7 linked regions of the Ovis aries genome follow. The protein of the gene in region 7 interacts with the protein of the main gene of each other region in a biochemical or structural test. Links are inferred from orthologs where the notes say so. Each region holds a gene or a part of one and is shown on either strand. Other genes may lie near its edges.

What was found.
Region 1: the proteins of ERBB2 (region 7) and SHC1 form a complex in vitro, tested with the Homo sapiens proteins (2 studies listed by BioGRID and IntAct, with this or other methods). The link is inferred for Ovis aries from reciprocal best matches to the Homo sapiens genes ERBB2 and SHC1.
Region 2: the proteins of ERBB2 (region 7) and ERBIN form a complex in vitro, tested with the Homo sapiens proteins (4 studies listed by BioGRID and IntAct, with this or other methods). The link is inferred for Ovis aries from reciprocal best matches to the Homo sapiens genes ERBB2 and ERBIN.
Region 3: the proteins of ERBB2 (region 7) and STUB1 form a complex in vitro, tested with the Homo sapiens proteins (4 studies listed by BioGRID, with this or other methods). The link is inferred for Ovis aries from reciprocal best matches to the Homo sapiens genes ERBB2 and STUB1.
Region 4: the proteins of ERBB2 (region 7) and SLA2 form a complex in vitro, tested with the Homo sapiens proteins (2 studies listed by BioGRID and IntAct, with this or other methods). The link is inferred for Ovis aries from reciprocal best matches to the Homo sapiens genes ERBB2 and SLA2.
Region 5: the proteins of ERBB2 (region 7) and SHC3 form a complex in vitro, tested with the Homo sapiens proteins (2 studies listed by BioGRID and IntAct, with this or other methods). The link is inferred for Ovis aries from reciprocal best matches to the Homo sapiens genes ERBB2 and SHC3.
Region 6: the proteins of ERBB2 (region 7) and SRC form a complex in vitro, tested with the Homo sapiens proteins (3 studies listed by BioGRID, with this or other methods). The link is inferred for Ovis aries from reciprocal best matches to the Homo sapiens genes ERBB2 and SRC.

Annotation. Positions count from the first base shown.
Region 1 is NC_056054.1:105,194,964-105,199,078, forward strand, and holds the start of SHC1 (SHC-transforming protein 1), read right to left. Parts: upstream 2,801-4,115; 5' UTR 2,669-2,800; exon of another isoform or gene 1,702-2,668; coding exon of another isoform or gene 1,696-1,701; exon of another isoform or gene 1,692-1,695; intron 1,651-1,691; 5' UTR 1-1,650. Other genes in the region: CKS1B (cyclin-dependent kinases regulatory subunit 1), read left to right, coding at 3,160-3,218. UniProt on the Homo sapiens protein: Signaling adapter that couples activated growth factor receptors to signaling pathways. Participates in a signaling cascade initiated by activated KIT and KITLG/SCF.
Region 2 is NC_056069.1:13,773,250-13,777,414, forward strand, and holds the start of ERBIN (erbin), read right to left. Parts: upstream 2,801-4,165; 5' UTR 2,250-2,800; intron 1-2,249. UniProt on the Homo sapiens protein: Acts as an adapter for the receptor ERBB2, in epithelia. By binding the unphosphorylated 'Tyr-1248' of receptor ERBB2, it may contribute to stabilize this unphosphorylated state.
Region 3 is NC_056077.1:1,118,100-1,122,017, reverse strand, and holds STUB1 (E3 ubiquitin-protein ligase CHIP), read right to left. Parts: upstream 2,746-3,918; coding exon 2,587-2,745; exon of another isoform or gene 2,581-2,586; intron 2,096-2,580; coding exon 1,897-2,095; intron 1,811-1,896; coding exon 1,645-1,810; intron 1,604-1,644; exon of another isoform or gene 1,458-1,603; coding exon 1,370-1,457; exon of another isoform or gene 1,225-1,369; coding exon 1,168-1,224; exon of another isoform or gene 1,081-1,167; coding exon 964-1,080; exon of another isoform or gene 888-963; coding exon 762-887; 3' UTR 501-761; downstream 1-500. Other genes in the region: JMJD8 (jmjC domain-containing protein 8), read left to right, coding at 1-66, 150-284, 374-454; uncharacterized protein LOC101103616, read left to right, coding at 2,744-2,874, 3,282-3,375, 3,508-3,667, 3,840-3,918. UniProt on the Homo sapiens protein: E3 ubiquitin-protein ligase which targets misfolded chaperone substrates towards proteasomal degradation.
Region 4 is NC_056066.1:65,720,766-65,725,000, forward strand, and holds the start of SLA2 (src-like-adapter 2), read right to left. Parts: upstream 2,801-4,235; 5' UTR 2,458-2,800; intron 1-2,457. UniProt on the Homo sapiens protein: Adapter protein, which negatively regulates T-cell receptor (TCR) signaling. Inhibits T-cell antigen-receptor induced activation of nuclear factor of activated T-cells.
Region 5 is NC_056055.1:23,964,138-23,968,239, reverse strand, and holds the start of SHC3 (SHC-transforming protein 3), read left to right. Parts: upstream 1-1,302; 5' UTR 1,303-1,645; coding exon 1,646-2,101; intron 2,102-4,102. UniProt on the Homo sapiens protein: Signaling adapter that couples activated growth factor receptors to signaling pathway in neurons. Involved in the signal transduction pathways of neurotrophin-activated Trk receptors in cortical neurons.
Region 6 is NC_056066.1:66,307,694-66,311,193, forward strand, and holds part of SRC (proto-oncogene tyrosine-protein kinase Src), read left to right. Parts: intron 1-1,424; coding exon 1,425-1,524; intron 1,525-3,500. UniProt on the Homo sapiens protein: Non-receptor protein tyrosine kinase which is activated following engagement of many different classes of cellular receptors including immune response receptors, integrins and other adhesion receptors, receptor protein tyrosine kinases, G protein-coupled receptors as well as cytokine receptors.
Region 7 is NC_056064.1:39,822,576-39,826,075, forward strand, and holds part of ERBB2 (receptor tyrosine-protein kinase erbB-2), read left to right. Parts: intron 1-555; coding exon 556-707; intron 708-1,810; coding exon 1,811-2,024; intron 2,025-2,764; coding exon 2,765-2,899; intron 2,900-3,184; coding exon 3,185-3,253; intron 3,254-3,419; coding exon 3,420-3,500. UniProt on the Homo sapiens protein: Protein tyrosine kinase that is part of several cell surface receptor complexes, but that apparently needs a coreceptor for ligand binding. Essential component of a neuregulin-receptor complex, although neuregulins do not interact with it alone.

The sequences.
Region 1 (4,115 bases), on a different chromosome or scaffold from region 7:
ACCGGACAAGGGCAGGCCAAAGAGAGCAGGAAGCTGAGGGACCGGTGGGGCCGGGGGGGGGGGGGGGGGGGGGGGGGGGGCGGCGGGCGAGGAGGAGGTTGAGGGAGGAAACAGAGGCAGCTGGGGGTGGGAAAGGGAGGGGATCCCTGAGCTCAGCAATTCCCTTCCTGTCCTGGTTGAACACTCAAATTCCCTCAGCCTCCAGCCCCAGCGCCCCCCCACCACTGCCCCACAGAGGGGTGGTGGCCCTAGGGAGCCTGAGCCATTAGCCTCCTTGGCTATCACAGCTGTGGAGGGAGCTAAAGAAATGGGAAAAAGAAGGACATGGTCCCAGTGGATGCAGGGAGGGGCCAAGAGGAAAGGCAAAGCTGTTAAAGTAAGAGGAATAAAGTCCAAGCTGGGTGGCACATCAGGGAGCCACCGGGCAGGAGCTGGAGCAGAGGACAGTTTGGTGGAGGCTTGTTCTCCATGCATGGCGCCTACCATGCCAAGGAGCAGAGGCCCAAGCCAAATACTCTTCTGCCCCCCTCTTCCACAGGAAAGTAAGCTGTCAAGGGCAGAAGGGGTGAGGGGTGGCCAGGGCATTGACACTAAGGTCAGATCCCTAGACCTCCAGGTGAACACATACCCCTCCTTTTTAGTAGTGACCAGAGAGAGGGCAGGTATCCACCAAGGAGCATGATACCCCTCATATCAAGGAAAGAGTCTGACCACAGGAGATGGGGCAGTGCAACGGCTGTCCAAGAGAAGTGGCCAGGAAGGGACAGAGGCGCAGAAGTCAAATCTGTGCTCATGAGAAAGGGGTGCCAGAAGAGGACTGAGGCTGGACACAGGGAACAGTCCCAAACTCATTCCTCCCACCCACAGCATCCTGCCACAGCTCTGCTCCAGGAGGCCACAGGGGAAGTTGGAAAGCAACCAAATAGAAGTAGTAGTAAAAGATACATATACCCTCAGCAGGCTCACCTCGGAATTACCTATCTTTAAATTTACTTCAGAATATTAAAAAAATGCAAATTATTGTGATTACAGTGATTAACAATCCTGACAATGAAAACATGTTAGATACTGTGCTTACCACCGCCCCCGTAGTCCTGAACCCAGGAGAGCTTTACCACCCCATGCACCACTCCTGAGAAGAAAACCTATCACTGTTTCCTAAGGCCTCAGCACTCAGAAACAGAGAAAGAGGAAAGTATTCTGCCAAAGCCTCACCGCCCCCCACCCCCCACACACACACAAGCACACACCAGGATATCCTATCTTTAGAGGTGAGCATTCTGTGGGTGCCTGCAGAATCCAGAGACAAGGGATGACCTACAGGTGTGGGCATGTTTAGAAAAGAAAGAGGAAGTAGGGCTCTTTAAATTTACGGAGGAAGAAAGGAGATTGCTATTGGCAATCTGAAGGAAGAAAGGGGATTGCTACTGGGAATCTGAACGACTGGGTGTGGGGAAGAAGCTGCATGTGGCTTCTCAGCTCAGCAGGGAGGAGGAGGCAAGAGAGGCGGAAAGTAGCAGGAAATGGCGAAAGCCTCAGGAATGTTTCCAGCAGGGAAGGCTGGGCAAGCAGGACCAGGAGAAATGCCCAGACTAGAACTCTGTCTGGGGGAGGGGAAGAGCCAGAGAAGTGGTGGGGCCTGAAGAGTCCCTTAAAAAAAAAAAATCAAACATCAAAAAGGACACTGTTACCTACACCCATTCCAAGCCACCGTCTTCAGGTGGTAGAAAACTTTCTCTTCTGTCACACCCACATGTCACACATCGACAAATCCACGGCCCTACCCAGCTCCCGTCGTACAGGTATGAGACAAACAGCTGTTTCTGGGGTGGAGTCGGTCCTGGGAAGGGAAACTCAGGGAGTGGGGCAGGGAATCTGTGAGCAAGTCTCCCTCCCACTCTCGTGCCAAACCCCAAGTCCAGCCCCCTTCAAGTAGGTCCACCCTTGGAAGGGGCTAAGGGAGAGGGAAAGGGCTGCCTCTAATCTCTTACTCCACAGAGTCAGAGATGTGAACTTTTGACCCTATCCAGTGGAGCCTAAGAGCTCAGGAAAACTGAGCCAAGGGCCCCAAAGAGAAAAGGAACGAGGAAGCGCAAGCAGGTGAAGTTTCTGGGATTGAAGACAAAGCTCCTGAGGCGATGACAAGGGTCCAACCGGGATAACGCTCCTGAAGGGGCGTGGCCCCTCAAGACGCGTGCACCAGAGACTCCCAGGAGGCGAGGCTTCTGGACGATCCGACGTGGATTAAGGAAGGGGCGAGGCTTCTAAAGGGGCGGAACCCTTAGGGAGGCGTGGCCTCACGAATTCGAATAGTTCTTTGAGTAGCAGGGTTCTGCCCTTTTGGGAGTTAGGCTTTTGATAGACAGGGGTTAACGGAGAATAGTCTCGAGAAGGCGGGGTTTCGGGGAATCGGAAGGACTAATGCAGGGGTTTGGAAGCATGTCTGGGGGTGGGACTTCCAGGAAAGCTGGACGACAGGGTAGGATTGGGGACAGTAAATGGAATATAAGTCGGGGTTCGGAGAGCCCCCTGAAGTTGGGAGGTGGGACTTCCGGGGAGGGGGTCGCAGAGGGCGGGACTTGTAAATGAAGACCGGAAGTAGGGTCCCGGGAGAGGGGTTCCGGGGTAGAGGAGTGGGTCACCTAAGAAGAAAAATGTCCCAACTCACCAGGACTTCATGGAGTCTCCGCACCGCACCGCGGGCCGATTTGGTTCCGGATCACGCCACTGTCTCCTCAGGTTGCCGCTCCAACTTTCTCCCCGGGCCCGGCCTCCCTGGAGAAACTTTATTGCACTCACTTCCGGCCTCACTAACCCCTGACCCTGTACCTCATTGTCCCTCCTTCACCCGTCCCTCTTTCCCGAATCAACCAATGGCAGTGCGCGGACGAGCACAGTAGCAGTGATAGCCAATAAAACGTCTATTTTTTACTTACGGCAATTCTTGAGCAATGTTCATTCCAATGAGGACTTGAGTAGAAGCAAACCTAAGCCAATCGGAGGCTTGAAGGTGGGGTTGTCCCGCCTTCCGGCAGAGGGACCAATAGAAAGCGCAGGCGGCGTGTTTGAAAGCGAGGCCAAAGAGGGTGGGAGCGCGTGCTGCTGGGAGTTGTTCGGAGGTTGGCGGCGCGGGGCTGAAGGTCCTCAGGCAGAGTGATCATGTCGCACAAACAAATTTACTATTCGGACAAATACGACGACGAGGAGTTCGAGTACCGGTTAGTGCCGGCGCGGGGGCAATATCAAGGTCGTGAGTTCTGACAACTGAGGGCACGAGAAGTTGGTAACGGGGACTGAAAACTGCAGAGTTGGCGCATGCGCGGGAGGTTAACGGGAATGGGTGTGCTGAGAGTGTGAGGCGCATGCGCGAAAGGTAGGGGGGCAATCAAAAAAAACCCCTAGAGTGATAGCGAATTTGGAAGGAGGCATGGGTGGTCGTGGTTAGAGTGTTCGAATGTTAGAATACTGACCACCCTCAGCTTTGCGGGTTTCTGGACCATTCTCTCACCTCAGTTGAGTAAACTGAACTTGCCTTCCTGAGACTGCTTGTATTACAGCCACACCGTAGAGCCTTCTGGGAGAAGGTGGCAAAGGCGAAGCTTGAATTTTCTTCGAGTCTTCAAAGTGAGGAGAGTTCTAAGAGAGCCTGAGTGTTGCTTATTAATCCATGGGAAAGGGGCGTGGTTGTCTGATTTGTTTTAGGAAGGGGGGCTTCGAGGAACTGGAATCGAGTAAAACTGACCAGAACCACTGAGGAAAGACTTAATATGGCCCTAATAGATTACCGTCAAATGTTTGAAGGGCATCTACTTGGGAAACAATTATGGAGTGTTTATAGGTTTCAGGTGTTCTGCTAAAGTACACGGATAAGCCATGGTCCCTGCTTTCAACAGACCTAAAAAATATGTGGAAATACTGACAGGCTTCAGAAAGAAGATGATAATTGGTATAATAGAGCTATGTACATGTAGGTTGTGGTGGGAGCACATAGGATTTACCAAACATGATAAAGAAAGGACTCCATACAGAGTTTGCATTTGATAAGCTCTTAAGTCCATAATTCTAGATTAGAAAATAAAGCAACACAAAGAATTTTACAAATGTTGGCATTCCAC
Region 2 (4,165 bases), on a different chromosome or scaffold from region 7:
ATATGAAATATCACTAATTATAGTTACCACTTTATTAAGAAAAAACATGCAATAAAAAATTTGCTTTCTGTATCTGAACCTCTGTAAGCTTTTAAGACACGAAAAAATTTGTAATAGTTTGTTCTCAAACATCAGGCAGACTTCCTAATATAATATTTGAATCCATTAGTTGAAAGATTAAGTTTATCACCATGGAAAACTCTTAAGTACCTTCAATAAGCAGTGCCATTCAGTGTGCATTTTGTTCAGACACCTTGGAATTACTCTAGATTTGCCAATTTAATCCAAGAAAACTCTTAGAATATTAAGAACATCCAAATTTTAAAGCCATTTTAAAATATTTTAATTATTTTTTTTAATCTTTTTAAACCACTGTCACATTTTAAACAAGATTTTGAAAAATATAGTTTGATAATAAATTAAAACCTAAAATTCATTTAAGTTAATTCAACACCAAACTAAGTCTGCATTTAAACATACTATTGCTCCCCCAAGGGAAAAAGAAAAATCAAGAACTGTATCTAAAAACAGGGATGTAAGTATTTTCCAGGGCTATAATACTTTTTATAAGTAAAATTTACTAATGCAGAGAAACATATTTGCAAAGTGATAGCTCTCTATAAAAGACTTGCTCTATTAAGGCTTTGTTGCTCTGAAGCCAAGTATAAACCATATAAGGAGACTGAAGTTCAATGCCATTTATTTTGTTCCCCTCTTTCAGCTGCCCAAGAATAACCTCTTTCGTTGCCTAATGATATGTTCCAAAATCATAAAGCAGATCAGTTAACTACTTTAAATTTCCTGATAAAGTTACTTTGACTTAACAGGAATTACCTGATGGTTCACAAATCTTAGCAACAATTTAAAAAAATTTTAAAGGCGTTCTAGAGATTAAGCTTTAGGGAAAAAATTCAAAAGAGATGAAAGATTGCCATTTTGAAATGTATTTGTGAAATAATTTGATCTAGTCCTTCATGACCTAACTTTTCTCTCCTTTGAACTAAAGAAAGCCAACTATTCTTTCTTGAGGTAGCATGGGCAATTAAACATACATTTATATTTAAGATATACCTACCAACTAAATACCATACTTATTTAATATTTATTCAAAAGCATAGTATAATCTTTCACCTCCCTTTACCACAAAAGTACAAACGGAAAAAAACCAACCTTAAAAAGACACATTAAAACACCACTGAAGAAACCGTTTCGTGTTTGCTCCGACCAAAACTGGTTTGATCTATAAAGACTACCGATTGGTTCAGAAGTGTTTGTATTTATGACTGACTGGTGGAATGTCTCCCATGCTTCAATAACCCCTGCCACCACCGTAGATACTCATCACCTCTGAGGCGGCCAAAACATTCGGGCCAACACAAAAATGTAAATACTGTACTATTCCAAAAGCACAGATGTTTATCACAATCACTGTGATGCCCATGAAAATTGTTGTAAGCGTTTTACTTTCCTTTCTCTGTGTCCTGTTCTGAACTGCACCTAAGTCCCAACAAACCAAACTACTTCACAGGTGTTTACGTGTGTTTTTAATCGTAACACTCTTTATCGACAATACTTCCTCCCTCCTTTTTCTTTCTACTCTCAGTAACAAGAAAAATCTAGCCGACAGTTGTTTTCAACTAATTAACCAAACAAGTATTATCAAGTTCTAAATGTCTGAAAGGAACAAGTTATTGAAGAAATCTATTTATTACCCACCTAGAAAAACGACTGAGAATGGCAAAGGTTTCTGTTTTATAAAACCCAATGAAATATATCCATAAAGACTGCTACTAAAAACAAATCTATATAGATACAATTAAACGCAAAGGCCAAGTAATCGGTAACCGTATAAACAAATGTGGCAGCCATCTCAGCAGCAGCAAATCGCTCCCCGCAGTGACCTAACTTTCTTCAAAACAAAAGTTGCCAGGTTCAGCAACTTAATGAATCAGAAACATACACAGGGTATATGTTCCAGGAATCTAAGACTTCTGGACCTTGTGCCAAACAAAGGCACTCTTCCTTCGGATTGCTTAAAACTTTTCGTCCCACCTCATTCTTACAACCTCTTCTAAAATAACCAAAGAGGGAGTAACATCTTACTATTCAGCACCTAAAACACTATCCCGTTCGACATCAGAAAAGGAGAATTTAGGGGAACTTGAGAAAAAAACCGAAAAACACTAAAGTTTCCTCTCTTTTCTGGCCCGGGAGCTTTGTGGCTCGTAGACACTTCTCGTGAAATTTACCTTTCGGTCGGGCAGTGTCTCAAGGCAGCTTTTTCAAGGCTTCGCCTGACATGATTTCCTTCCCTTCATTAGTCACTTCGGATCCAGCCCAATTTCACTCTCCGGTGAGAGCGGATGTGGAGTGGCCTCCCGCAGAAGGAAGAGTAGGTGGCTTTGGTGGGGGCTGGGACGCGCGGGCTGGTTTCCCGGTCTCGAGTTTTGCAGGAGTTTCCCAGCCCCAACTAGGATCTCCGCCGAAAAAAAAACTTTTCACTCGTGACACCGCCCGGAATTACCGTGCGAAACTCACTTCCTGCCTTGGCGAACAGCAGGATCCAGCTCGGTCCAGGGGAACCCGGAAAACCAGCTCCCGGCGCGCCGGGGAGGGGGAGGGGAGGGGGCGTCCGCCCCGAGCCTGGGACTCCGGGCGACCCGCGCGCCCCGATACCCGACGGCTGCCGAAGGCGGCCGGCGGGGGCGAAGACGTCGCCGCGGCGCTGGGAGAGCCGCGGTCGCGCTAGGCCGCCACCTCCTCCTCGCCGCCGCCCCCGGAGCCGGGCGGCGGGGTTATTGTCTCGATAGAGCCTGCCGCGCCCTTCGCCTGCGCCGCCGCCGCCGCCGCGGCCGCCCCGAGCCGGAGCCGAGGGGCCGGGCTGGCTCGATGGCGGCCCCCTCCCCGGGCCGTCCGTCGGGCTGTCCGTCCTTCCGTCCGTCCCTCCCCGCCTTCCCTCCTCGCCCTCGAGCCCTCTTCTCCTCCTCCTCCCGTTTTCCCGCCGCCGCCCCCTCGCGCCCCTCCTCGTTCTTCTTCCCAGGCGGCGGTGGCTCCCCCGGGAAGCGCAAAGGCTGAGGGCAGGCGGCGGCTTCGTCTCCTCAGGAGCTCGCGGGGCCGCGGCAGGGGCCGAGGCTGCGTCCCGCGCCGCCGCGCCACATTCACTCGAGCGAGAGACTGCGAGGGGCGGGGAGGGGAGGGAGGGAGCGGAGAGAAAGGAGGAGGAAGGGGGCTGGGGCGCTGGGGAGTCACTGCCTCACAGGCCGCGGCGGCAACAGCGCCACCGCCCCGGCGGCGAGGGGGGAAGAGCAGCGCGCGGCGGCGGCGGCTCCGCGGCGGGGGCGGGGCGGCCTCCCGCGGGCTTCGCCCCAACCGCCAACAGCCGGGCTGGAGGCCGGCGCGAGCCAGTCACCGCGCGCGGGGGCGGTGCGGGCCGACGTCTGCGGCGGGAGGCGGCGGGGGGCGGCGGGCCGGGGACCGGGGGGCGGGGCTGGTGGCCGCCGGGGGTTCGCTGGTGAGGCCCGCTGCAGCCCAGGCCTCAGAGGCCTGCTGCCGCTACCCGGCTGCCCAAGGTGGGGGACTCCGACGAAGTGGAGCCCGGCTTGCCCGGTGCCCAGCTTGGGAGACCGAGAGTCTCCAGGCCTCCTCCACCCCGGCCGATTGAGTTTCTTTGTACGACAGTGATCGGTTCAAGTCCAACCCCGATTTCAAGGCTGCAGGTATCTCTTTCAACTGCAGCACTCCAACTTCCTCTAATGGCACGCTCGGTTTGCAGGAAACCACAGCGGCAGCTCGGAGAAGCTTCCCACGCCGGCCCTTGCTCCGAGCTTGCTCGCTCAGCAACGCAGCTCCTCCGAGTCTCAGCCTCACACCGGTGGGGAGACAAAGCTGGCCCTGGGACGGGGGAAAATGGCCCGCGAAATTGCCTCAAGATAATGCCTTTGTTAGAGGAAATATTGGATACACTCCGATACGCGACGTAGGCTTCCAACCCTGGAGGTTTCGGTCGTGCAGTCGTTGAATTTCGCTGGCCCTAGTGATTCAGCCTGGCAGCGTTTGCGTTTATTGCGGAGAGAGCTGCTTAGGCATTCTATCAACACATATGGCATAAAACGCCTCAACCATAACATTGCACAGTTTTTGCAGTTACTGCCTTACATATGTTAAC
Region 3 (3,918 bases), on a different chromosome or scaffold from region 7:
GCTGGCTCTGGGGTGCCCTTCCACTGGCATGGACCTGGGTTCTCGGAGGTGATCTATGGCCGCAAGGTCAGCACAGGGTGCAGGCTGAGACTCTGGGTTCACTGACCAAAATACAAAGCATAACTTTGCTGCTCCCCGCCAACCCCCAGCGCTGGTTCCTGTACCCTCCTGAGAAGACACCCGAATTCCACCCCAACAAAACCACACTGGCCTGGCTCCAGGACACATATCCAGCCCTGACACCATCTGCACGGCCCCTGGAATGCACTATCCAGGCTGGTGAGGTCAGTGGCTGGCAGACGGGCCAGGCTGAGCCAGGCCAAGGACCCCCATCCAACCCATCAACCCACATGTCCCCCCAACCCCTCGCCAGGTGCTGTATTTCCCGGACCGATGGTGGCATGCCACACTCAACCTCGACACCAGCGTCTTCATCTCTACCTTCCTCGGCTAGCCAAAGGGGGTGGCTGGCAAGCCCACCGCACACCAGCACACATCCCTGCAGTACTCACAGGTTTTATTACAGGGACAGAGGTGGTGGCAGCAGCCTCAGCCCAGCCCAGCCTCACCCCCCCTTTCCGGCCCAGAAGGAGGATGAGAGGCGTGTTGCCCAGCAGAACTGATGGGGGTGGGGGTGGGGACACCAGGGTAGGGATCCAGGGACACAAACTATATACAGAAAACTAGGGGCTGCTGCCCCAAGGCCCTCCTGAACTAGGGTACCGGGCAAGGCAGGTGGGTGGCCCATACACCCACCCTGCTCAGTAATCCTCTACCCAGCCATTCTCAGAGATGAAGGCATCGATGACCTCTTTCATGGCCAGGTTGGGGATGAGCTGTTCCTGGGTCAGGGGGCTCCGAGTCACAGGGTCAAAGTGGCCCACGCGCTGCAGTGACAACAGGGCAGAGTCAGGGGCTGCTCAGTGCGCGTGGGCCCTGCTGCCAGCGCCCACAGACCCTCACCTGCAGGTGCTCCTCGATGTCCTTACGGTCGTATGTGATGCCACTGGGCGTGATGCAGGGCTCCCGCATCAGCTCAAAGCTGATCTTGCCGCACAGGTAGTCAGGGATGTCTCGCTTCTGCAGCACACAGGGTTGGATCAGGTCAGGGGCTGGGAAGGGACACTGCTCTAGCTACCCACCGGCCCCAGAAGACGGGCAGCTCACCTTTCTCTTCTCGTCTACCTGGGAGAAGAGCTCGTCCATGTCTGCCAAGTACTTGTCCTGCAAAGAACCAAGCAGCCACTTGTGGGCCTGACACCCCTCTCCCCTCCCCAGACACCGAGACACAGACCCAGCAGGAGCCAGGGCACCTCACATCACAGCGCACGCACACACAGGACCCACACTCGGGCTGGGGCACCCTCACATGCTTGGCCTCAATGCAGGCCTGCTGGGCCCGTACGTGGCTGTCGTCCTCGTCACCCTCGTGGTTCCGCTGACACTCTTCCAGTTCCCTGGGGGTTGACCAAAAGGTGTTCAGAGATGGGTCTGGCCAGGGGCAGTCAGACTCCACTCCAGACTTAGGATCATTCAGGCCCCTTTCCCTCCATCTCCTGCGTGCCAGAATTGGCCTTCAATAAACACTTGTGTTCACACCTCAGAGTTAACCTAAGAGTGGTGACTCGAAGAGGGGGAGCCCACCTCTCACGCTCAGCCACAATGAGCCGTGTGAGGTAAGAGTGCAACTCATTTTCCTGGTGGATGCGTCGCTCCTCGATGCTGTTCCAGCGCTTCTTCTTTGCGATGCGCAGAGCACTGGGGATGTCATCCCCAAAGTTGAGCCGCTGCTCCTTGGCCAGGTTGTAGGCTGGGGGATAGAGCATTTGGGTAAACTTCAACCAGTCCACCCACCTGGTCCCAGGCACCCTGGAACCAGCTAGCCTGTAAGCCCACCTCGCTGCAGGTTGGCAATAGCCTCATCATAGCTTTCCATCTCCAGCTGGCATTGCCCCAGGAAGAAGTGTGCCTTCACAGACTGCCCGTCCAGCTCCAGGGCGCGCCGACAGTCGGCCAGGGCTTGCTCGTGCTGCTGCATCTTCAGGTAGCACAGTGCCCGGTTGGTGTAATACACGGCCACCAAGGGGTTCCGGGTCTGGGGACCAAGGCCGGGCCAGCCAGCATGAGGGAGTGAGCTCAGCCTGCCCACTCCGTCCCAACTTGAGGCCCGCGGTTGGAACCAAGACACTAGCATTTTCTCAGCTTCCAAGCCCCTGGGTTCTGAGGGAGGGTGAAGCCTACGTGAGCCCACTCTCTGGACTCCAATGAGTCTTGTGAAGGTAGTTTTCCCGGACTCATGGAAATCCCCAGCATCGCGTTTGACTCCTCAAGGGGCAGGGATGCCTGGTCCCCAGCCCAGTGGGCCTCGAACACCTACGGTTCCCACCCAGCACAGTTCTCTGGCAGCCCGCACTGGCTCGGGAAAGGCGCGGCCTTGGCCCCAGACCCCAAGCACCCACCCCCTCCCTCCGAAAGTCTGGCGGGCACGGCCTGACATGTTCTGAAGAGGGCGCGCGGCAGAAGCCGCAGCTCGGCCCCTCCCCTGGCTCGGACGCCAAGCCCCTCCCGCAGCGCGGGCGCACTCACGATGGCGCGGCCGTAGCAGGCCGCTGCCTCCGGGTACTTGCGGCCCACGAAGAGCCGGTTGCCCTGCTCCTTGAGCTCCTGTGCGCTCGGGCTCTTCTCGGGGCTGCCGCCGCCGGCGCCCAGCCGTGCGCCGCCCTCCTTCTCCTCCTTGCCCTTCATGGCGCCGCACGGCACCGCCTGGGCTCCGCTCCCAGGCTCCGCGCCCAGCCCGCCCTGCGCCCGCAGCCCGAGCCCGCGATCCGCTCGGGCTCGGTCCAGCGCTCCGCCACCGGAACTTCCGGTCTGCAGGTAGGCGGGGCCAGCGGAGCGGACCGCCGCACGGGTGGGCGGGGCCGTGCGTGCCCCCGGCGCGCTGTGGGGGCGGGGCCGGCAGGGAGGGGGACTCTGGCAACGCGACGCGGCGTCAAGGTTTGCGACGCGCTGGGTCACCCGGGCAGACGCCCGCCCGGCCGCGCTCCGACGCCCCGCCCCCGAGGCCTCGCCTGGCGCGGGGAGATGGCCGCGGCTGGCGGGCTCTGGAGCTGTGAGGACCCAAGCCGCTGGGCCGCCGTCTTGGAGTGCCGCGGGGCGGTGCTGCGGGCGCGCGCGGGCCCCCAGGGGCGGCTGGAAGCGCTGGACCGGTGGTAGGGCGGAGGGGGCAGGGGCGGGCGGGCCGAGCCCCGTGGCCCGGACTCCGTAGCGCCGCCTTCCCCCAGGTACCGAGAGGAGCTGCCCGCGGCCATCGGGGCCCGCGCGGAGAAGCACGTGACACTAGACGAGCTGCAGCGGCTGCTGGCGTGGAAACTGGCGGTAAGGCTTCCCACTTGGGGCGCGGCACAGCCACGTGGGTGGGGCTTCCCAGGGGGCTCACCCTCGTGGCAGTCTTGAGGGGCCTCCCAGCGAGGGCCGCCACCCGTGACACCCGACCCGACCTGGCCACAGAGGGGCCGCTTCCGACCGCGCCTGCAGCAACTCGTGGCCGCCAACTCTCCGGAGCTGGTGGTGCAGCGTTCGGCCGCCGCCTTCCGCCTCCTGCCAGACATGCACGCAGCGGTCATGGCTCTGTGCGCCCTCCGTGGCGTGGGCCCGGCTACCGCCTCGGGTTAGTCGGGAAAGCTGGACCACCCCCGGGCAGGGTCGCTGGCGGAACCTGGCCTGTTAGTGTCCTTATCCATGAAATGGTCCGACGGCCAGATACATGATACAGGAGAGTCGCTGGGGACAGCAGCCCCAGGCCCAGGCGGGGCTGAGTGCTGTCCATTCACTGCCCACAGCGGTACTGGCTGCCGGAGCTCCTGAGGCGGCAGCCTTCATGTCTGAGGAGGCAGTGGCCGCAGTGCCCGGCCTGCCCGC
Region 4 (4,235 bases), on a different chromosome or scaffold from region 7:
ATTCTGTCACCTGGGGGGCAAGGGCCAATGACAGGACAGAGTTCATTCATCCCAGGCACACCGGGACCCATGGCTAGGTGGGCAAGGGGGATCTGAGGGGGCTTGGGAGCTGGCGTGTCTCGCAAGCTACGGCGACACTGAGAACACAGTGACTAGTATCACAGGGCAAAGCAGGATGCCTGGGAGCCTGCATGACACAGTGATGACTTGCAAGTCTTCACAGGACTGGTAGTCGAACCATTTCCCTCTGCCTCCATTTCCTCATTTGAAAAAGGGGATAACGACACCCGCCATACGGGCCTGAGAGATAACTCGTGTGAAGAGGCTGGCCAGCACCTGCTTTTCCTTTCTCACACCCTTAATGTCACTTCACCAGAGGCTGTTTCTGGGGACCTTCCTTTGTGTCCCTCTTGGCTCCCTGTTGTGCTCTTCCCAATTTTTAATTATTTATGTACTGGGGCGTTTGTTTAACCAGTCATGATTTCATAGCATGCTGTGAATAAGGACCTCTCTGTTTGCCCATTTCCTCGGCATTTTCACCCACAGATGGCACCTGATGCACATTACCTAAATGGATGGAGTGATTATAAGCTCTTTGGATAGGTTTCTCATCCTTGTTTGTTATTGTTTCATCTCTAAGCTGTGCCCAACTCTTGCAACCCCATGGGCTGTAGCCCGCCAGGCTCCCTTGTCCACGGGATTCTCCAGGCAAAAACACTGGGGTGGGTAGCCATTTCCTTCTCCAGGGGATCTTGCCCATTATCCTTAGAATAATTAAAATTCTCGTTTCCATGGTAATGCTGACTTTTTCAAACAATATATTATTAAGATGTTGCAGGAAGGTGGTTTCATTCTTTGAGACAGTTTCAGTCTTTTCCTTACAGACAGAACACGATTACACCAGTGTGGGGACATGGCAGGCTCCATCCTGCCTTTGAACATCTAGCTGCTCACCATGATCATGGAGGGGCTCCCAGGGCCTCACCAGCCAACCTGTCTGAGGAGTAAAGGTGCTGCCTTAGAGGTTAGTACATTTATCTGTGAAACCATCTGCCATCTCATGCCATCGACACGGGGAAAACAGGATCTGTTAGCTCTCCCTCCTTGGGGAGCTCAGGCCCACCCTTAGGGGATGGCTCCTGGTAGCCACTTCCGGCTCAGACTTGGAAACCCTGAAGCCTTGGCAGCCCGAGCTGGTGCCGCTGCCTCCTGGGGTCTCTGCTTCCCTCAACGTCAAGGCAGCTTTTCATGGTCAGGTTTTCAACAGTCCTGCTGGTCCCAGCCTTTCCTTTCCTTGGGTATGAGGTACAGACATGGGTCCAGAAAACCCCTGGGACAGATCATGCCTGGCTAGCGCTAGGGCGTAATTCAGACCAACGGAACTCAAGCTGTGTGACCTCAGGCAAAGCACGCAACTTCTCTGAGTCTCATGTGTGAATCTGGGAATAATACTGACACCATGGGTTGTGAGAAGCTGAGCAGCCTGGCAGGGAGAGTGCGCTAAGCGAAGGTTGCTTTCTTCTCCTTGAGCAAGACAATGTCACCACAGTTACCAACCACACTAAACCCAGAGGCTTCTTCCCGCTGCAGGCAGAGGTGGGGGCTGGGCCCCAGGAGGCAGGAGAACCCTGCACTCAGGCTGCCAGCCTGCAGCACTCTGCCAGCTCCCTTCACCTGGTCAGGTCAAGGTCAGGAAGACTTCTGGGGGAAAAATGAAGACCGTGGGTGGGCAGACCTAGAAGGAGGCGGTGGTATTGGCCCAAACTTAGAGAAGAATCTAATAACTGTGTATCTGAACAACTTACTCATGTTAGGCACTTTGCAGGGGCCCAGGCACGGGCGGAAGGAAAGAGTTAAAGACAGCTGAGGTCAGCACACCGCCCATACTGTTTTGATCATTGCACTTGACCTTTTGAGAGATCCCAGGGTTTGAATACCATTCCAAACAATGACCAGGGCCCAGAGAAAGTGACCTCACACTCTGTTGGTAGCTGGTTAGTGCAGACCTGGGTCTACAGTTTCTGTGTGTTTGTGCTTCTGAAGGTAATTTCTCAGTGCTGGAGGTAAGTCACAGATTTGGATTGAGCTAAAGGGAGAACCCCTGCCCTCCCTTTTAGCTGAGAAAGATCAGCTGAAGACTTTTGAAAGAAACTGTAGACTCCAGAACTTTACTCCTCGTATCCACTGACACCATACAGCTATCACTCAGAGAGGGTCCCCTAGTCACACAGTAAGTTGGGAACTGAGATGGGACCAGAATGGGCATGAAAAGCAGCTGGAGGGAACAGCAAAGGGGGAGAGGAGGACCCTCAGAAGCCGTTTCTCACAGCCTCAGCAGAACCAACTCCCCGTCCCCTTGAGCTTATTTCCCAACTGTATAGCCCACTCCCAGTCTTGAGGGGACCATCCTTCCTCACAGTCCCAAGGCCATCAGAAAATAAAAACAAGCATACTTACTGGTTTCCTGTCATCAGAGTCTTGGGGTGGGGGCCCAGCTAAGTCACATGCTTTAGCTGAAGAGGTTGGAGCTCTGGGTGGGATGGAAAGTCTTCTGGAAGTCTGCCAATGTCCTTGGTTCTAGGCCACCTAGAAACCTCTTGGCCTGTGAGAGTCTTCAGGGAGCTTTGAGGAGCTCGGCATCTGCCTGTGTAAGCGGTCTGTACCCTGCGGATGGGACAGGAGCCCCGTGCTCCTCAGAGACCTCTGACAAGGTGGTCCTGTCAAGTAGAGCCAGGTGGGGAAGCAGGACCCGCGTCTCTGAGCTCTGCTGCAGGGTCCTCGGGGCTCCCGGCTCACATCTGCAGGCTCTGTGGTTCTCACAACCACCCGTTTCCTCTGACGGCATCACAGACCATCAAGGAGCCACCTTCCCCAAGTTCCTGTTTGTGGGGGAGAAGCAGCTGCCGCGTCACGATCCTGGAGGGAGAGGTTTCTCTTCTGGCTCTGGGGTTTGGGTCTGCTCTGAGGAACACAGACCCAAGGTAAATGGGTAGCCAGGCTTCCCTGACCACCACCATCACCTGAGGGCCTGCTAGTCTCAGATCCCTGAGACCCTCCCACATCTTCTGAATCCAAGTCAGCAGAGGAGCAGCCCCCAGACTGAATCTTGACCACACCAAGAGATTCCCCTGGCTGGCAAGTATGGGAAGCATTGCCAAGAAGGGTGGTGTCCCAAAATTTACTGTCTAGGAAGCCCCTGGGGATCTTGTTAAACAGTAGATTCTGGTTCTGTGAGTCTGGGTGGGGCTCAAGATTCTGCATTGCTAACAACTCCTAGTGGATAAAACCATGTTGACCATCTGGGAGCCACACTGTGCATAGCAGGACCTGGACAGTGGTTCAAGTGTGGTCCCTAGGCCAGCAGCCCCAGTATCATCTGGGATTTTGTTTCATAGGAGGATTCTCAGGGCCCATCTTCAAAGTAAAGTAGCTCAGTTGTGTCCAACTCTTTGCAACCCTCACGGACCGTAACCTACCAGGCTCCTCTGTCCATGGGATTTTCCAGGCAAGAGTACTGGAGTGGGTTGCAATTTCCTTCTCCAGAGTATCTTCCCAACCCAGGGATCAAACCTGGGTCTCCAGCATTGCAGATAGATGTTTTACCATCTGAGCCACCAGGGAAGACAGGGAGGATTCTTAGGGCCCATCTTAGGTCTACCCAAACAGAAACTCCATGGTGGAGGGCCAGCAACCTGTCTGCACAAGCCCTCCAGGTGATCCTTGATGCATTCCCTAACCTTGAGACTCACTCCACTAGGATGAAGAATCTCTGATAGAATTGTCTTTGATTGGTGTGCTTAAATCAGTTATTAACATTTAAATAAATTTAAATAAAAACCTCAGCTCATTAGCATCTAAATAATCATACCCACTCATTATCTCCTCTTTAAGGGGCTTAGCAATCCTGGAGACAGATGCTTTGAACGCAAAACTGTCATTTCACAGACAATGCAGCCTGTTTTGGGGCCTTGCCATACCTGGATTCACACGGTCTCCCATTCTCCTGGGGAAGGCTTGAGATTTAACTCCTGAGGCACGTGATGTGGAGAGTGGAGGGCCACAGTGGAAGTGTCTCCTCTTTAAGAAAGTTCTAACCAGCATGCTACAGTAGGTGACGACCCCTCAAGGATGTGGCCTGTGGCTGGGAGGAACCTGATCGCAGCCCCAACCACCTGCTCTTGCCTCCACACCACTGTGCTGTCCATCTTTCCATCTGACAGCCTTTCACACTGGCC
Region 5 (4,102 bases), on a different chromosome or scaffold from region 7:
CTGCGGCCCTGGGAGGGGAGCTGCCGCTCCTCCACGCTCCTGCGTCCCCGCAGCGGGCCTCACCTGGCCCACCTTGAGTGGCACTCGTCACACCCTGTTCCATAAAGCTTTTCAAGGCTGGGTGCCTCAAGTGTCACATGTCTAGCCGTGGGTGTGAGAAGACTAAGGGTAATCTGATAACGTGCTAGAGGTAAATTCATTTTTTGTATAGAAGTAGACGGGAAACTTGGACAGGGAGCGAAAGCGTTTCACTGTGAAGGGCAGCTTCTCTCAATAGACCGATGAAGACCTCTGAAGGCAGGCAGAGCCCATGGTGACAGGGGTCAGTGGGTTCGTGTCTCCGCAGACCTTCTGGGGTCGGGTGGAGGGGCTCAGTGCTCTGTTCCGCGGACAGCAAGGAGGCCTGGGCGTTTCACTTGCAGCCGGTGTCTGACTCCCTGAAAGCAAGGCATCTTTCCGCGGGCTTGATGTGTACTGACAGCAGCTGCATTTTTTCCCTTTCTTTCTGCAGGGTTGCAAGCAGCAACCAAAGGGATATTGAAATGTATTTGTAGCGTTTCTTAGGCATTTCTCCAGAGCTTGAGCACATTCAGTTGGAATAAAGCTTCAAGCACAGCCCCCCTTTTGGAATGGATTTCTGGAGTTTGTTGCCATTCATCAAAAGAAACACTCTTCTTTTTCAGAAGTAGGTTTTCAGCTTAACCCTGGCTGAGAAAGACTGCTGTAAATTATCAGGGAAGAGACCCTCAGTGGCTCTGGGCAGAAGTTCATACGCAGATATTTTTTTTTTCCTGGGAGGGGGAGGAACTGCATCGCCACAAAGACTGTTGTCATGGCTGCTCTGTTGACTTGAAAAAAACCTTGGAGATTGATATTTTATGTTCACCTGGGAATGAATCTTTTCTTTTTGGCTATTTAAGAATTCCTGCTGCTTTCCAAATCAAAATTCATGAGGATCCGCTGAAGATCTTATTCTTAAAAATCCTTCGTCACATTTTAACGCTGCACCGTCAGACACTTTTCCAGGCTCACAGATGGGCTGAACAGGGAAGAAAAAACCCTAGCATAGAATAATGGGTTTCAGAAAGTTCATTTGAAAGAACAGAATTTACCTCTGGCATAGATGCTGAGAGGGGGCAGGGAAAGGGGAGGTGAAAAAGCAAAGGTTGGAAGGAAATGTCTGGGAAGGTAGAGAAAGGAAATTTGAGAATTGATTGGCTCTAGTGTGCTGTCAGTGGGTGTATGTGGTTTTTTTTTTTTTTTTCTTCTTCTTCTTTTTTTTTTTGCTACAGGAAGTGATTTGCAGTGCTCACCGAGCCTTTGTTGAGAAGGGTCTCCTCTCGGAGTGAGTCATGCTTTTGCTGTGAGCAGCCCCAAGCAGCTGGGCGCGCAGCAGAGGAAACTATGACTTTTGCAAAGCGAACGTACCGCCCTCAGCAGCCGAGTCCGGGGCCGGGGCTGCGCGGCCGCGGCCGTGCGGGGTGTTAGCGGTGGGAGGCCGGCGCCGCTGCTCGCGCCCCCCAGCCTGCTGTCCCGGCCGCTCCGTCCCGCCCCGGGGACCGCGGCTCGCCTGCTATGCGCGGCAGCCTGCGCCGGGGCCGGCACCTGCAGCGCCCAGGCGGATGCGGCGAGCCCACGGAGGGGCATGCTTCCACGCACCAAGTACAACCGCTTCAGGAATGACTCGGTGACATCGGTCGATGACCTTCTGCACAACCTGTCGGTGAGCGGCGGTGGCAAGGTCTCGGCGGCGCGCGCGGCCCCGGCGGCGGCCCCCTACCTGGTGTCCGGAGAAGCGCTGCGCAGGGCGCCCGACGATGGGCCGGGCAGCCTGGGCCACCTGCTCCACAAGGTGTCCCACCTGAAACTCTCCAGCTCGGGCCTCCGCGGCCTGTCGGCGGCCAGGGAGCGGGCGGGCGCGCGGCTCTCGGGCAGCTGCAGCGCGCCCAGCCTGGCCGCCCCGGACGGCAGCGCGCCCCCCGGCCCCCGCGCCCCGGCCATGCGCGCCGCCAGGAAGGGCCGACCCGGCGACGAGCCGCCGCCCCGTGCCCCGCACGCCAGCGACCAGGTGCTGGGGGCAGGAGTCACCTACGTCGTCAAGGTGGGTGCGGGCGCGGGCCGCCGGGTGGGAAAGCCGGGGCGCAGAGGCGTCCGGCACAGTGGGTCGCTCTGGAGGCCACGGGGTGCGCACTTTTTCGCAGCCAGCTCGTTTGGCAGGGGGGACCCAGCTCAGCAAACGCACCCATTGCGCATCCGGTGGGAGAAGGTTTGAATTCGGCGACCTCACTGTCCTGGTTTCCCCTGGCTCCGCTCCTTTGGCATGCCTTTGCCACCGGGCTTTGCCATGTGTCCGGCCAGTACCCCTCTCGGCATGGACCACTCTCCCTGGGAACTGTGCATCAGGTCTGCCTAGGGTACACACTTGGAAGAACTGGGCAGCCCCTGCGATGAGAAAGGCAGGTGGTGTCACTACTTCTCCTGTGTTTGCCCCAGGCGGCAGGGTAAATGGTTTCATTTCTTTCCTCAGCAAGAATTTTCAGCTCCTTGCAGTGCAGCCCAAGTACTGTCCTTTATACCAGATAGGTAGCAATTTCTTAGCCAGCAAGGTTTTCTTTGGTTTCTGCCTTTCCTTCCATACCTGCTTTGGTTTACAGCAGCAGAAGGAAAATTGGGACTGTTTTTCCCTGGGGACTCTGGCCTTCCCTTTAAATAGGCTAAAGGAAGCTGAGCCACAGGCTGGAAAGTAGATTTTTTTTTTTTTTCCTCCAACACAGAGAATTATACAATCATGCCTGATGTAGTCCACAAAATTCTTCTCTTATGCAAGTATTCTATGATATTTAAAGAACAAATACTTAGCAGCATTCCACTGGCCTGCCACATGCTTATCACATCCTTCTGGTCGTTGGGCAGCAGAGAATCACCACAGCGCTCTTCCAGCTGGGCAGACAGCCTCCAGACAGTGGAAAGGGGCCAAAATGACATTATTTCAGACTGGTCACTCCAAGATATGACTTTTCATTTTAAGAGAAATGAGATGCACACTGTCCCCACAGTGTTGTCAGTCGCACTGAGAAACCTGCAGGCTCTTAGTGGCTATTAATACTTATTGGCTACAGATCCAGTTGCAAAATTCTACAGACCACATCCCCTGGCAAAATATATCTTGATAATTCTGAACCAAATATTAAAGGAAACAGTTGACTTTGTGGATTATCTTTAACTATCTCAAAAGTACTAACAAAGGAATTCGATCATCAGTATTAAAAATGGACCTGTTCTCCTTTTGAGTCTCCTTTTTAATTTAATCTTCATTCTTAGCTTCTGAGAGTGAATTAATCATATATTTTACAAAAGGGATGAAGATCAACATAAAGTATGCACAGCTGGTTGAGTTTATTGTAAAAGAAAAAGAATATTCCTCTTGTATGCCTTCTTTAAGTTATATAACCAGGAGCCGAAAACAAAAGGAAAAAAGAAGAAACAAAACCAAACAACAAAACCCCTGACAACGCTGAGGTTAAGAAGTGATGCCAGAGTATATTACTTGTGCCATGTGTAATATAGTATAATTGCTATCTGAAGAAAAAAAAAGAACCATGTTAGACAGATGTTGGCAAAGGTTTTTATACCTGTCATGTTGAACATAGAGGGTAGTTTCCAAATGGAGGGAGAACTTTCAAACTTATGTCTCTAAAGTTTCCTTCAAAAAAATAACTTGCTTTGCTTAGGGCTTTACTCTTGCTCTTTGAAGGATGAAGGCTGACATCCAGTTCTAAATGTCAGTTGTGGCTGAAGAAAGCTAGTCTATTGTGCTGGGCTATCAGGTAGTGACATCCGGTTCCCCCAACCCTGAAGCAAGAGCAACACTCAAATAAGTGAAAGGCTGGGTCTGCCTAGAGCCTTCTGGATTTGGGGTCATTTTGCTGTGCCAAAGGATTGTAGTGACCTGGGGGCACATAGCGTGCCCTGTTAGTGCTCCTTGCTGTCACCTGGTCCATCTTCAGTGGTGAATGGTGGCGTCACAGGAATATAAACTTAGGTTTCCCTGGAGAAGTTTGAAATCACACAGCAAAGGAGTCCAGACACTAAAGGACAATTT
Region 6 (3,500 bases), on a different chromosome or scaffold from region 7:
ACTGAGGCCCAGAGAGCCGGGGGCTTCTTGGGGAGGCCCGAGGACCAGGTCTGAGGCTTTGCTTTTCGCTCTGGTTAGCCTGGAGATGGATCAGGACTGGAGGCGGTGAGTGGCCAAGGGGGCGGGGCAGGTTTTAGAAGGAGAGAGAGCGCTCGGGTCTTCAGAGGCTGGACCTACGAGATGCGCCCCTGCGCCCTCTGCTGGTATTGAGGGGGTATAGCCGCTTCGGGCGAGTGATGCTTAGTAAGAGAAGTAGATGCGGTTCTGGAGAGGTAAGGCCCTCACACAAACACGGGCATTTCTACCGGGACACCTTCAGACAGACACACACACACAGTCGGCAACTCATTCAGAGACACCCAAATAGGACACGTGCACATGTTAGGCTGAAGATGCCAGCGTAAACACAGACACACCATGGACACAGAGACACACTCAGGGACACAGGAATGGGCACCCTCCAGGCACAGACACACACCCACCGCAGATGCACACAAATGCAAAAGCACATACGCAGAAGCGCCTCCTACTCCCAGATGGAGACACAGACGCGTGCAGTCGGAGCCCTTCAGAAGCGCACACATGCTCAGCTAGCACCCATGGACACGCAGATGCACACACGTGCAGTGAGAACACACAGACACGCACCCAAGCGAGACAGACGGACCCGCAAACACAGCCATTCATTTGTTCAGGAGACAGTTGTGGCGCCCCTCCTGTGTGCCAGGTCTCTTCTGGTGTCAGGAACACAAGCAGTGTGTAAAACAGACAAAACCCTCCTGGGGAAGAGAGGCGAAGAGCGAGTTGCGTAAACTGTGCCCTGCGTTTGTGGGTGGTAACTGCTCTGAAAGAACACGGAGGACAGGGAGGGGCGCTGGGGGATGTGTGGGTGGAGGTTGCATCTTAAAATGGGCACAGAGAGGGCTTCAGGAGGGACAGTCACCCGCAGCCAGGATCGTCCCTGATGGCCCGAAGCACCCAGAGTCACACAGAGAGTCACAGAGCCGCCTCCCCAGGGGCAGTTTTCCTTCATTCACTGCTTCACTCACCCCATGGTTGTTTCTTGAACACCTGCGATGCGCCAGACTCTAGGAACAAAATAAAGATGCCTGTTACTGGGGGCTTCGGGTTCTTGGGGGGAAGACAGATACCAAACAGAAGCCAACACCCAGCATCACCTGGAGCCCGCTGGGCTCATCATGTGAACCCGCTCAGACACACGTGAGAGACCCACGTGCCTCCTCCGTGCCCTCACAGGTGTGCCAGACACATAGACACAGGGGACATGCACAGAAGCCCACCGTCTCTGTAAATGAAAGCAGGCCCCCGGGCTGGCAGTGGGGGACCCTCCCCCACCCCCAGAGTGCAGGGCTCTCCTCTGCCAGCCAGGGCCGGGCCTTCTGACACGCCCGTCTTCTGAGCAGGCGGAGTGACCACCTTCGTGGCCCTCTATGACTATGAGTCGCGGACAGAGACTGACCTGTCTTTCAAGAAAGGGGAGCGGCTTCAGATTGTCAACAACACGTGAGTGCCCCCTGGGGACCCCGATCTGGTCTTGGGCTGGAGCCACTTCTGACCATCCCAGAGCCAGCTTGATGGGCAGTGGGCGGGGCTGGACGTCAAGGCAGCCGAGGCCCAGGGAACCCATCCTGGGCATCCTGGGGTCTGTGGGGGTGATCAGGCGGGCACCCCGATGAGGTGGGTGTGGCTTTGGGAGGGCTCCAGGGACAGGGATCTGGGTTCGGTAACTGATCCACAGAGCACGGTGCTCCAGATCCCAGCACCCGCAGAGGGGCGTGTGGTCAGAGTAGGACTGGGCCCAGGACCCGGGGCTACAAACAGCAGGGCCTTTGTACTTGAAGGCTGTGCCCCAAGAGGTGCTGGAGCACCTGGGGCAGCCCAGAAAGTGAGTCTTCAGCTGTAGAGGGAGGGCCCTACATTGGCAGGGTTGGGGGACCCATATTAGGGACCCAACATGAGAGGGGTCAGGATAGGGCATGGGGAGGATGGGGCATAGGATGTGGAAGGCAGGGCACCCTAGGGTGGCATCCATGTCCCCCTCCAGGGACTCCAGCCTTGTCATGGGGCATCCTAGGGCCAAGCTGATGAACGGGGGAGCAGGGGACCCTGCCAGACTCTGGGGCCCCTGTGAGTGATGAACTGATGAGAGGGGTGGGGCTTCAGTCAGGGGGTGGGGGCCTTCCTCTCCTCCCTCCTCCTCTCCTTTCCCCGCCTGCCCAGAGTGCAGTGGGAAGTGGGGTGCAGCATCTGTCGTGGGGGGTGGGGAGTGCAGGCTTTGGGTGCCATGCCCTGGGGTGATCACAGTGGGGGCGGAGCTGCCGACAGAGGGCGGGGCACAGCTCCACACCAGCTGCCTTCCTGCCCTTGGACGGCCTGCTCTCCCGTCTCTGCCACCTCCCATCCCTCCCCCGCAGCCTCGGGGATGCCCTGCCCCACTCCTGGCCCGTGCTTGCTCCCTCCAGCTCTCTCTCAGCTTCTCCCTCTCTGCTTCTCTCTCGCTGGCCCTAGGAGGAAGGTGGATGTCAGGTGTGTACGTGCTCCCAGGGCGGCGGGCTGGGTGGGGGTGCTTCACTGGTGGGGGTGGGGCTGCATGCGCTTCCGCCTGCACCCCCTTGGCTGCACCCCCTCCGGCTTCCCCAGCTTCTGTCCTCACACCCTAGAGTTGGACCAGATCCTGACCTGCACCCCCAGGCTGAGAATGGGGAGGGTCCTCTCATCACCCCTGTCACTCCCCATCACACCTCCTCCCCATCCACCTCCTGCTCGCTCAGCTCCCCCCAAGTGCCAGCTGCATGCAGGGCCAGCGCTGGGCCTAGGGAGGCCTGGGTGGAGAAGGCCACGTCCTCCTGGGGCCAGAGTATAGTGGAACTGGCCCTAGTCCGGGCCCCGTGGCCTGTGCAGGGCATGGCTGGGATCAGCTTGGGCTTTAGGGGGCTGTGCTGTGTGCCCACCTCTGGTCGTGACCAGGGGCTGGGAGGCTCAAGCAGGACCTTGAAGGAAGCACAGTGAAGCCGAGCTGCTGGAGGGAGGTGATGGATGGCAGCCCCCCTCAGAAGGGCAGCTCCTGGGAGGGTGCAGTGCTGGAGGGGGTTACATGCCTTCAGGGCTATGGAAGGGTGAGAAGGTTCTAGAGGGTAGAGTGGGGTTGATCCCAGAGCATCCTGGAAGGCCTGGCTAAGGAGGTTGGACATCCCCACCGTCTCTAGGCATTTCTTGCTTGTTGGTGCCTGCCTGCTGTTATGCATGTTGTTCCCTCTGTGTGAAAGGCCCCTTCTCCCATCGGTCTGGCAAACTCCTACTCATCCCTCAAGATCCAGCTCAGAAGTGCCTTCCTTGTGAGGCAAAGGGGAAAAGAGGGGTAGGCATTTTTACCCACGTCCTTTACTCTGCTGCCATTCCACCAGGGCTGTAGTGATGGGGGAGGGACCATCGCCATATTGATTCCTCATATGGAATGAGGAAACTGAGGCACTGAATGA
Region 7 (3,500 bases):
GCACTCTGGCTCAGCGTCTGCAGCTTGGGTCCAGATACCCAGTTGGGATCTGACACTCCTTTGCTCTGCCTGGGGAAATCCCAGAAGTCCCTGCAGTGACCAGGCCACTGGTGGTCCCCAGGCCCCAACTATGACTCGAGCTGACCCTCCTTCCCCACTTTCTGGGTGGCATTGCGGGGGTGGGTATGCCTTGCCAGGAGGTTGGCATGTGAGTGGCATTGTTTGCTCGGGAAAGGGGCAGGGGGTATCCAGAGGATTCATGATTCATCATTGCCTCTCTTGGGGGATTTTTACCCATTGGCCCTGAGTCGTGCCTTTGGGACAAAAGAAGGCTTTCTTTGCCAGCCAACACCCTGGATTGAATGGGCAAGCTCCCTAAGGCTGGCCCAGTGGGACCCCCTCTGGATGCTCAGGATGGGGCAAGTTGGCGGGGGGAACCTCCTCTCTGATTTCCCTCCTTTTCCCAAACTTGCACACTTTCTTTTGCTGTTGCACGTGGCCGGTTGGAGAAGCTCACTGCGCAGGCCTTTTGACCCATCTTCTCTGTTCTGCCAGTGTGCACCGGCACAGACATGAAGCTGCGGCTGCCAGCCAGTCCCGAGACCCACCTGGACATGCTACGCCACCTCTACCAAGGCTGTCAGGTGGTGCAGGGTAACCTGGAGCTCACCTATCTGCCTGCTGATGCCAGCCTCTCCTTCCTACAGGTGAGGCCCATGGGCAAGACCCAGCCAGGCCCTGCTTCCTGCTGGGCTGAGCCCTCTGCCTGCAGATGGGTGGTAGAAGAAGGTTCCCCGCCTTACATTTTCTCTTTCGTTGTGGCTCCTGAACCGGGAAGTCATTTCTGATGTCTCACCCCATCTGTCCTACACTAAGACCAGCTGACTCTCTGTCTACAGCGTGGCTGACTGTGGACATCTCTGGGTGGAATGCATCTATTCCTGGGCTATATTTTTTGCTCTCTCACCAGCACAATCACCTTCCCTTGTCCAACTGTCCCAGCCACTGTCCCCCTCCTATCTGGAGTAATGAAAGCCCTGGCAGGTTCTGAGTCCAGTTCTGCCATTGACAAGCCCTGTGAATGTGGTCTAGCCCCTGGCTTCACTGGATCTCAGTTTCCCTGTCTGTATATTGGGAGCCATGAGTGCTTCTCTGGTGGCTCAGATGGTAAAGAATCCACCCGCAGTACAGGAAACCCGGATGCAATCTCTGGGTCAGAAAGATCCCTTCGAGAAGGAATTGGCTACCCACTCCAGTATTCCTGCCTGGAGAATCCCATGGACAGAGGAGCCTGGTGGGCTACAGTCCATGGGGTTGCAAAGAACTGGACACGACTGAGTGACTAATACTACATTGGGAGCCATAGGCATACTTGGACTCCTCCTGGGGAGCCCATTTAGAATATCATGTGGGAAATATATGTGAAAGGGTCAGGAACAGGCGAGCGAGTGGAAGCCAGCCTCTGTGTTGTGTCCCAGCGTGGGGCCAGGTGTGCGACACTTAGTCCATTGAATCCCAGACATCATCACGTCCAGGCATTTCCTTTACAGATGGAACAGCTGAGGTGTAGAGAGGGTGGGGTGCCCACAGTTTACAGAGTGCTGCCCCCACCCCCTCATTTTCTTTCTTGATCATACTAGAATTTGGTCCTAGAACCTGGTTTGGGGAGGTGGTGGGCAGACTGCTTGGCAGCTGGGCCCTTGCCCAAGATCCCCAAGCACAGGGGACCTTGAGGAGGTCTTGGGGGTTGGATGGTAGTGGTCCAGGGCCTGACCTTCCTCAGCCCTCTCCTCCTCTGTCCCTTTTCCAGGAAATCCAGGAGGTGCAGGGCTATGTGCTCATCGCTCACAATCGAGTGAGTCAGGTCCCACTGCAGAGACTGCGAATCGTGCGAGGCACTCAGCTCTTTGAGGAACACTACGCCCTGGCCGTGCTGGACAATGGAGACTTTCTGGAAGGTGCTGCCCCTGCTGCGGGCACGGCCTCAGGAGGGCTGCAGGAGCTGCAGCTGCGAAGCCTCACAGGTGACCATCTTTATCCTTGAAACTTTCTGCTGGTTACTGAGAGCTGGCCAGGGGTCCCTACTAGCCAAGGGGTGACTGTGAGTCAGAACTGGGGTCCTGTCAGAACTGGCGTCCTGGGGACGGATGCAGGTGGAACTAGGAAAGGCGCCCTTGTGAAGATTCAAAAAGATTTCCCCTCTTCCCAGGAAGTCACAGCTTGCACCAGCCCGCATAGTTTGATGATTAGGATGCAGGCTGGATTTTTGCCCACGTCTTGGCTGAGTGCACATGTACAGTGAACAACCTGTGTAACTGTACGTGGCAGCCCTGAAACAGACAGTGTTTCAGACTCTGAGTGCCCGGTGCTTTGCATGCATAATCCCATCACTCCTGCCATAATCCTGCAAGGGAAACATCAATGTTCTCATTTTACAAATGAGGAAACAGGTTTATGGAGGATAAGTCACACAGCTAGGTAGTGGTGGTGAGGCTGGGTTTCACACTCTTTTAATTGCTAAGCCGTGAGCACACAGTAGAGGTGGAGGAGAGGAGGCGGCGGCATGGGCAAGTCACTCCCCCCTGGATCTTTGTTTGTGGGTGGTATTGACAAGGCTCAAAGATGCTGAAGGGGTGTTCTCTGCTCCCTGAGGAACCTGGGGTGTGTTTCAGAGGCCTGCTCCACTTTTAGAAGGCAGGCAGGCCCCAGGGGAGATAAGATGCCAGATGGGGAAAGAAGCCCCTGATTATTGCCCACCCCACAGAGATCCTCAAGGGAGGGGTCTTGATCCAGCGGAACCCCCAGCTCTGCCACCAGGACACGATTTTGTGGGAGGATATCTTCCACAAGAACAACCAGCTGCCCCTCAAGCAGATAGACACCAACCGCTCACGGGCCTGTAAGCCTCGCTGCCCCCTGCCTGCAGCCGCCACCCTTTTTCACGCAGCCCAGCGACCCCAGACTCCTGGCTTACTCCTTGTGCCCCTCTGCTGCCGCACTAACAGCACCCGTCTCCCCTTTCTCTGCATCTCTTCATCTCTGTGGGTCTCTGTCCTGTTTTTCTCTGCTTCTAGATCATGCCTCTGGCTTTGAGGTTCTCTTTTCCTGCCTGGGTCTGCCCTTCACTGTGCATTTCACGTCCTGGTCTCGGTCTCTCTCACTGCCTCTCTGTTTCTTCCTCCAGGCGCACCCTGTTCTCCAGCTTGTAAAGCTCCCAACTGCTGGGGAGAAAGTTCTGAGGACTGTCAGAGCTGTGAGTTACAGGGCGGCCCAGGGCCTGGAGGGCGGGGGCTGAGTGACACGGGAGGGGCTGTGCCAGCCCTCGGCCTCTTCCCTGGGGCAGGAAGTCTCCCCAGAAGGTGGTGCTGGTGAGGGGCTGGTGCCTAGACTGCCGCCCAGCCCTCATCCCGCCTTGACAGTGACGCGGACCGTCTGTGCCAGTGGCTGTGCCCGCTGTAAGGGCCCACAGCCCACCGACTGCTGCCACGAGCAGTGCGCTG